Linked DNA regions of Drosophila melanogaster. The protein of the gene in region 2 purifies or fractionates together with the protein of the main gene of each other region. This does not show direct contact. Each region holds a gene or a part of one and is shown on either strand. Other genes may lie near its edges. The genes, in order: DCTN4-p62 and Arp10.

Region 1 (3,926 bases), on a different chromosome or scaffold from region 2:
AAGAAGCTCTTCGTGCCCAACTTCTTTGGCTAGAGGGGCTTCCCCTGCTCTCCTCCTGCCGGGACTGAGACTACAGACTGAGGATGATAGCATAGGCTTAGCATTAGCATTAGTCGCGTGGCTCCCACACCAAAAAGTACCTTATACCTATACGTTATCTATTTTATACGCGGTCACATGTCTGACCACATTATATTTATATACGCAAAGCTACTAAATAAAAATATCCAAAATATTGAAAACATATATCAACTTTAAAAACGAATGAGAGTCCTGATTTCAAAATTCATTTTATTAAAAGCAAACATACCGACTTTATAACGAAGTATAAAGTTTTATTATAAAGTTTTTTATGGAATTTCACAATAACCTCGATAAATCCAAAATATATTTAAAATTTTAGCATCTTGTAAACGCTTTCGCTGGTAACGCCCCCACTTTTGAATGAAAAGCGCCGTAAAGAATTTTATGAACCGTAAAGTGTGTAGATATTTAGTTTGGCGATTTGGTGCTAATTGACCACTTAGGTGATTTAATGAACTCAGAATAGCATTGTTGCTACTTATATGACGTACAATAAACTTTTCCCGATGATGTGATCGTTCAAAATAAAATATTCGTAAAGCAAAAACATATTTGCTCTCCTTGGGAATCCTAATACATACTCGAAAGTCCATGAATTCATATTCCTTTTTTATTTAGCACATATAAAATAAAGCCTAAAGCCTAAAACACTTCTTCATCAATTATAAAATTAATCTAGACAAAAAGTATATATTTTGCTGTACCTAAGTGCTGTACTAAACAAACCCGTAAGAATGTGGTTATATTGTTTTCAATAAGAAGTTTGCAACGCAGTCAAGAAGACATTTGTGACTATGTGAAGGACATATATTCTTGATAGCCATGTCCTTCAGTCATTACTTTCGTTTCTACACAAGAACTGTTCGTAGAAGTGTTTCCATTGCAGGTACAATTTAATTTGAATTAAAGAGCAAAAATACATATGTGAATCTCTTCGTTGATTATGATAAAAAAATATTTTTGTTTGGTATACATTAGTTTTTTGACAATATATAATTTCAGTTTTAACTTGATTTTTTTATGAGAAATTCTTCTTATTATTAGTATTCTTCTATAAGATTCGGTAAGCTTTTCTTTCTGTCGTATAGATCTATATTTATGAGGGTGGACAATGCTTACCATTCCGAACATTGACACAATTTCAAATAGAAGATAATCTAATAATAAACACAAATATTTATATTAATTACTTCGAAATACCGTGATGCATACTCCATAGATCAGATATTTTTTAAAATTGTTCTACTTTTATGTATTATGGATTAGTAATTTTTAAAAAATGAGCGGGATAAACAGAGTACCTTGGACGATCCACTTCTGGTTAGTGGGTAATGTACTTTATAACCATTCACTCTAGGATATAAAAAGTACTAATCAATTTCATAAATTCATAACCGCCAATTCACCAGTGCTGCCCAGCATTGGTACGCCCATAGATGACTACATATAATCGAGTCATCGACTTATCGATATAACAGCTGTCGTCATTACTGCAAGAAGAGGACAAATTTGCAAATTTACTAAGAAACCAGGAGAAAACTAGCGTCGTCAAGATGAGCTTCATGCAACCGAGTCCCGTTAAGTACGCGTGCTCCTGCGGCATACTGAACCCGATCAACACGCTGTTCTTCTGCCGCCACTGCCCCAAGCTGCGCTGTGGCTTCTGCGTGACGCATGAGATCGAGTCGCACTTCTGCTCCAACTGCCTGGAAAACATTCCCTCCACAGAGGCGCGCCACAAGAAGAACTGTTGTGCGAACTGCTTCGACTGTCCTTGCTGCCAGCACACCCTTTCCGCCAGAGCATCTACCGTTCCGGTGGTGCGCAAGTCGGAGGAGGCGAAGGAACCAAAGGATGGCGACTCCAAGGGCGAAGCCACGCCCCCAGTCCCGGCGAGCAGCAAGCCCTCTGCGGTGCCCACCACAAAAAAGATGTACTATTTGTCGTGCTTGTCCTGCCGATGGACCACGCGAGATGTGGGCATTCCCGACCAAGGCGTGGCCACGGGCACCTGGCCGGATAACGAGTGCTTGTACCAGGCGCGATTTAATGCTCTGGTCGAGTACTTCCAGGCGGTGGTGCTGCAGGAGAAGCAGGAGAAACTGGAGTTCATGCGGCGCAAGGCACCCAAGCAGCACAAGTTTCCCAGTCTGACGGATCGCACTGGACTAACCGTCTCACTTATTCGCCGCCAAATCGGCTGGAACGACAAGGCTCCCAAGGCTAAAGCCGTGATAACGCCGGCAGAGGCCACGGCGGAGGTGGAGGGCCTGCCGGAGAACATTTTCACGGAACCCTTGAACTTGCGGAATGTGACAACCATCACCCAGCGACATAGCCAGCCGGCGGACCAGCCCACGGCCGTTGGGAGTCTTTATCCTCAGCGCAGGTCCCTGTGGATTAAGCGGTCGCTTCGTTGCCGCCAGTGCGAGCACAATCTAATCAAACCGGAGTACCATCCCACATCGATAAAGTACCGCATTCAGCACTTCGCCAGCTACCATGTTCCTGAAGTGGTGATGGTGCGCTGCGAGCAGCCACTGGTGGCAGGAAAAAGCAACGCCATTTTGCTGAAGCTCACGAATCCGACTATATACGATATGACAATTCGACTGTTGACTGCATCTCCTCCTGAGGATCCACAGCTGTCAACAGAGGCCACTCGTGTTGCGAAAGAGGAACCCATTTCTTCGTCCCCACTTCTAAAAGCAGTGGGCATCACACTGTCGCGTCAAAACTCAACACGGGAGGTAAAACGAGATGTGATTGATATATCCAATGCCGAAATAGTTCCGTTGGAGAGCGAGTTCGTTCTGAACCAGCGCGATGACTCGAAAGAGTTCGACGAGGACGTGCAACTGTCCACCGAGGAGCCCAAGTTTATTGTCTGGCGGAAGGGCAACAAGGTGCTTTTGCGGCTACAGTTTACCCCAGCAGAGGAGCTGTCCGGATTAGCAGACGTCGTTCTGGGCTTCTATATGCAGTACACATACGTCAACACCGTAAACAATGCGCAAGAGAAGAGGGAACCCACAACCCATGTGCTCCACTCCAGGGTGTTTATCACGGCGGGAGCAACTGAGCAGAAAGCCAACTAAACTGGAAACTTATTAGCCAACAGGCGTACTAATCGACTTATGCGAAATATGAAATATGCTTTATGAAAGCTAGAGAAATATGTATTTATTTATTAATCCGTTCGTGAAACAGCAGCTAGTATTCAAGTATAATAAAAGGCTTGTTCTAACACTATTCGTTCTTCTTTAGTTATTAGCTTCCAGCTTATCTAATCCGGTCCACTTCTCGCTCTCGGCCCACAGGAACTTGGCAACCTTATCGTCCAAGGCACCAGAAGCCACAGGCTTTGGTTTGCAGTCACTGAAGTACAGGCCAGAGATGTTCTTAAGCTCCGGATCCAAAGCAGCGTAAATCGAGGTCTGAGCTCCACTCTTCGGTGTCTTTAAAAGCGGCCAAATCATTGGCTTTAAAAAGAACCTAGGAAGGTTAACAGGTATTACTGGGAAGGTCCTAATTCACTTATTCATCACTTACTTCACAAGGTTTGTCTGGAAGAAGGCCCAGTTCCGCGCCAGCTCAGTGTCCACCACACCAGGGTGAAGGGCATTTACTGTGACTCCGCTGCCCTCCAAACGCTTGGCCAATTCCCGGGTGAACAGGACGTTGGCCAACTTGCTCTGGCTGTAGGCTAGGCCCTCATCATACGACTTCTCGCTGTTGAGGTCGGCTACGTTAATGGAGCCACGCGCATGTGCCAGACTGGACACAACGACAATGCGACTGGGAGCCGAGTTCTGAAATTTTGTAAGACCATTATCTGACGC
Region 2 (3,926 bases):
AACGTCTTTTTTTTTCGTTTAGTTAACATGCATTATATGTATGGACCATGTGCATTCAGCGAATGCCTTTCTAACAAAATTCTACACAAACGTACGAAAACGTATTGTAATGTTTCGATATTCCATTCATGAACAAGTTAGTTAATAAGATTCAAATGTAAAAAGGAATCACCCGTCTTCATAGCATTTGTTTGGGGTGCGCATCCCCGCTAATAAATGTTAAATTGATTTTCCGTGTACAAATGAGATTCTTTTAACTCTGAGAGACGCAACGTTACATTGCTTGAAGAAAGTAAAGTTGTAAATGAAGCTGATAAACCGACATCATCATTAGAACCAAGAATAAATGTCCAGAAAACGTACAAGCAATATTTTGTTTAAAGCTCGTTAGCCTATATTTCGTAAATATTTAATACCTATATATTACAGAATAATAATCAAGAGTATGTTAGTACGCGTAACCAGTAAAGCGCCGAAGCGTACATATTTCCATCTTCCGGGACTGCCCTCGAGTCTACGAGCCTGTCGGCCTATTATCGCACAGGTTGCTCCAGTCGGGAACGTGCTCGCTCTTTAGATACGTCTCCTTGACCAGCGATCGTGTCTGGATGAGATCCGTCGCGCCGCACAAGGCGCCGCCCAGCCAGGCAGTAAAGTTTTGCTTGCCGACAGCATTGAAAAACTTGAACTGCAGCTCGCCATGGAAGCGTTCGGCGTAGAACGGATCCTCGGTGAGCAGATGCTGCAGCTCCTGGCGGAGGCGGGCCAGCAGACCCTGGACCATTGAGCCGCCGCCCACGAGGAACACACTCTCGACCAGGGCACGTCGCACGTCTAGTGTGCAGTCGAGAATGGAGCGCAGGATGAGATGCGGCAGGCTGTCCCGCTCGTTGCTGGCCTCGAACATGATCTCGTAGGCAGACTCCCGCAGGAGGCCGGGCACCTGGATGACCGCATCGTTGTCGCTGACAATGTAGTCCACGTCTGGCGCGGGAGTCGGCTGATTCTCGTCGCCGTTGGCGCGGGCCTTGGCTCTTTCCATGGTGGTCACAAAGCAGGTTCGCACCTTGATGTCCTCCAGCACGCTTTCTGTTAGCAGGCTCTCCTTAACGCCACTCTCAACCAGCTGCCGCTTGATCTCCGCGTGGATGGCGCTGCCTCCGTAGCTCTGATCCTTGAAGGCGGCCATGATTTGCACCCCGCTGAAGACGGGCATAACGCTGGTCTCGCTGTAGCCAACGTCCACCACAAGGGCAGTGGGCACTGCCAGCGTAGACAGCGCAATGAGATGCACGGGCACGAACAGCACGGAGGAGACGTCGAAGTGGACAAAGAGCACGCGGGCCAAGGTTTCACGCAGCACAGTGGATCCGAACACGTTCTCCACCAGCACGAACTTGCGCTCCTTGGGGCTGACCAGTAGATGCCTAGAAGGAAATTACATTGCAATAGAAACCAAAGCCACCGAGTCACCTACTTGAAGAAGATCGTCTGCAGAAAATCCACTAGCTGGTCGTACAGCTCCTCCGGAGTGTCGTAGTCGAACAGACGCTTCCGGATCCCCGTCGTGGTCATCACCACCTCCGTGGGCATGATCTTGCGCGGATACGCCTCCGCTGCGAATCCCAGCCTGAAAAGGGTGCAGTGATGACTTCATACCACTTTCGCCGAATTATTTGCGTTTGCTTACTTGGTGTAGGCGGTGCCAATGTCGAGGACAATGGGCGGCTTCTCCTGCATCACGCTCTCGTAAATGGGCATCTTGGCTGCTGTCTGCTGGCTGCTTGCTCCTTTGCTGGACGAACCGACTAGACCATGGAATGGTATATTGTTCAGTTCGCTTAATTTTTGGCCAAAACAAGAAGTTATCGGTGTGCGGAAATCATCGATTGACGATGTAGCGAGCAAACACCCTGTTTCCACTAATGGCATCCGTTTTACTGGCACGCTTTTCAAATTTCTGGGTAACTTTAAAACTTTGCCTATTGGTTTGAAATACATTCAATTTGGTATTTTGGTATTTTATGGCTTTTAAAACCCAACAAGATAAAATTTTGAAAGTAGCTCGGAATCATTTGGTGTCAGTCGATTATTCTGCTTTTAAGAGGTCTAACTCTTACGTACAAATAGAATCAACTTTACTTTAGTTTATTGCAGTGTACATACATATGTATGCTTTTCAGTAAGTTTACAAAACTACTTTATCGAATTTAAGAAGTTAATTTCGCGAGTTTGAAGCTAATAATTATAATGATTCTTGTGAAATTAAATTCATATATCTTAAGAACAACTTTTGTTCAATATAATCGCAAAGTCTCCGGGCGCGCTTCGTCACTACATTAACTGCCGTCCACAGTGATGTTTTCTTGCATGGATATCGTCCTGTTTGAAATTATTATATTGCGTATTACTAAAACAAGTCGGTTCCACTTTGAATTTTTAAATTTATTTCAAATTTATCTGCTTTATCTTATTTCGATTTGTGTTTTTGCACGGTCGACCGCTTCGATTTCATTATGTTTTCTTAGTATCCTGGTGTGTTTTTGGGCTATAATTATTATACTGCATAATGCATGATGCATTCGCGGTGCGGGATGTGTGATCATATACAATTTGATGTATTATATAATAATAACTTTTGCCTATCAACTAAACCTAAGCGTAATTTCAGAAATATTCCTTCAAATGATAAATGTGTACAATTATATAAATTACATTATGCCTGCGCATAGGTAACTATACAAAACGAGGAAAGCACAATTCATTAAATAATTAATTAATTAACTATGTATAAAATGGTCTTCTGGCGTCTCTGCGAAGCACCTGGGACCTGGGGCCATAGGACGAGGGCTAAGGATTGCGGATTGACGGTTGTGGGCCGGAGTATTGCTAACTAGCGATTCTAGTAGTTCCTTTGAGCAAACAAGTTTAACAAATTTCGAATAATAAATAACAAAGCAGTAACAAGTCACGAGTCACCATTTTCCTCCAGAAACTGGGGGGGAAACGGTTCGGATCGAAGCGGTTGCGATGCCCGCATGAGACAAATTCAATAAAAAATTGCTTCATTGCGGGTACGCTTAAAATTTAGTTGTTAAAATAAATAAATTAATAACTGTAAGATCTGATTGGGAACTGGGACTGGGACTGGGACACGGACTGGGTCATGGTCTTGGACAAGGGCGAGAAAAAGTGCGAACTCATCGTCTAAGCTAATTTACAGTTACATTCAGTTCAGTCGTCGCTAGTTTGGCAGCTGAGGTGGCCGTGGTCTCGACATGCTCCTGATCCCGGTCCTCGACCAGGACAGAGGTGGTGTCACTGGTGGCGCCGCCTCCGCTGCGACGCCTCCTCCTGCTTCTCCTATCCTGTTCCTGTTCGTTTGTGTATCTCGTTTTCTGCTTCCGCTGCGCTCCGTGTCACTTCTCCGGCCCAAAGAGCCTGGCCAGACTCGCGTTCTGATTGCTATCCATGATGTCAGCCGTGGTGCCCATGGATCCCTTGGCCTTGTGCGACTGCATGGGCGGCAGATTGGCTATCTGCACCTCGTGCCGGAACAACTGGTTCACGCTGCGTCCGACCAGCTGGGCGGTCAGCTTTTTGAAGATGTCCTTCTTGGCGCGATCCACTTTGTTGCCCTTGACGGGCGCCACGGCAATCTTTTCGTCGAACTTTTGAATGTCGGCCGCATTCACGCTGGGGATATGCTGCAGCACTTCGCTGAGAATGGGGAACTGCGGACGGAGCAGCTCGTAGAACTGCACGCCCAGCGTCACCAGGCCCGATTGGTTGGCCTCGTGCTGACCGTGCACCTGCATGCCCTGCAGGACGGCGGTAAAGGCCGTGACGGCCTTGTTCTCGTCCATTAGTTTCTCGGCGGCCAGGAAACGCATCACGGGCGCTGCGATGTTGACAGCCTTCATGCT

Evidence for each region.
Region 1: the proteins of Arp10 (region 2) and DCTN4-p62 purify together in Drosophila melanogaster (affinity purification with mass spectrometry, with the first as the bait; one large-scale study listed by BioGRID). This does not show direct contact.

Annotation. Positions count from the first base shown.
Region 1 is NT_033778.4:7,666,657-7,670,582, reverse strand, and holds DCTN4-p62 (dynactin 4, p62 subunit), read left to right. Parts: upstream 1-1,553; 5' UTR 1,554-1,637; coding exon 1,638-3,182; 3' UTR 3,183-3,335; downstream 3,336-3,926. Other genes in the region: CG12826 (uncharacterized protein), read left to right, coding at 1-33; Rdh1 (retinol dehydrogenase 1), read right to left, coding at 3,348-3,579, 3,637-3,896.
Region 2 is NC_004354.4:19,644,156-19,648,081, forward strand, and holds Arp10 (Actin-related protein 10), read right to left. Parts: upstream 2,022-3,926; 5' UTR 1,762-2,021; coding exon 1,691-1,761; intron 1,631-1,690; coding exon 1,478-1,630; intron 1,428-1,477; coding exon 515-1,427; 3' UTR 376-514; downstream 1-375. Other genes in the region: Ranbp21, read right to left, coding at 3,420-3,926.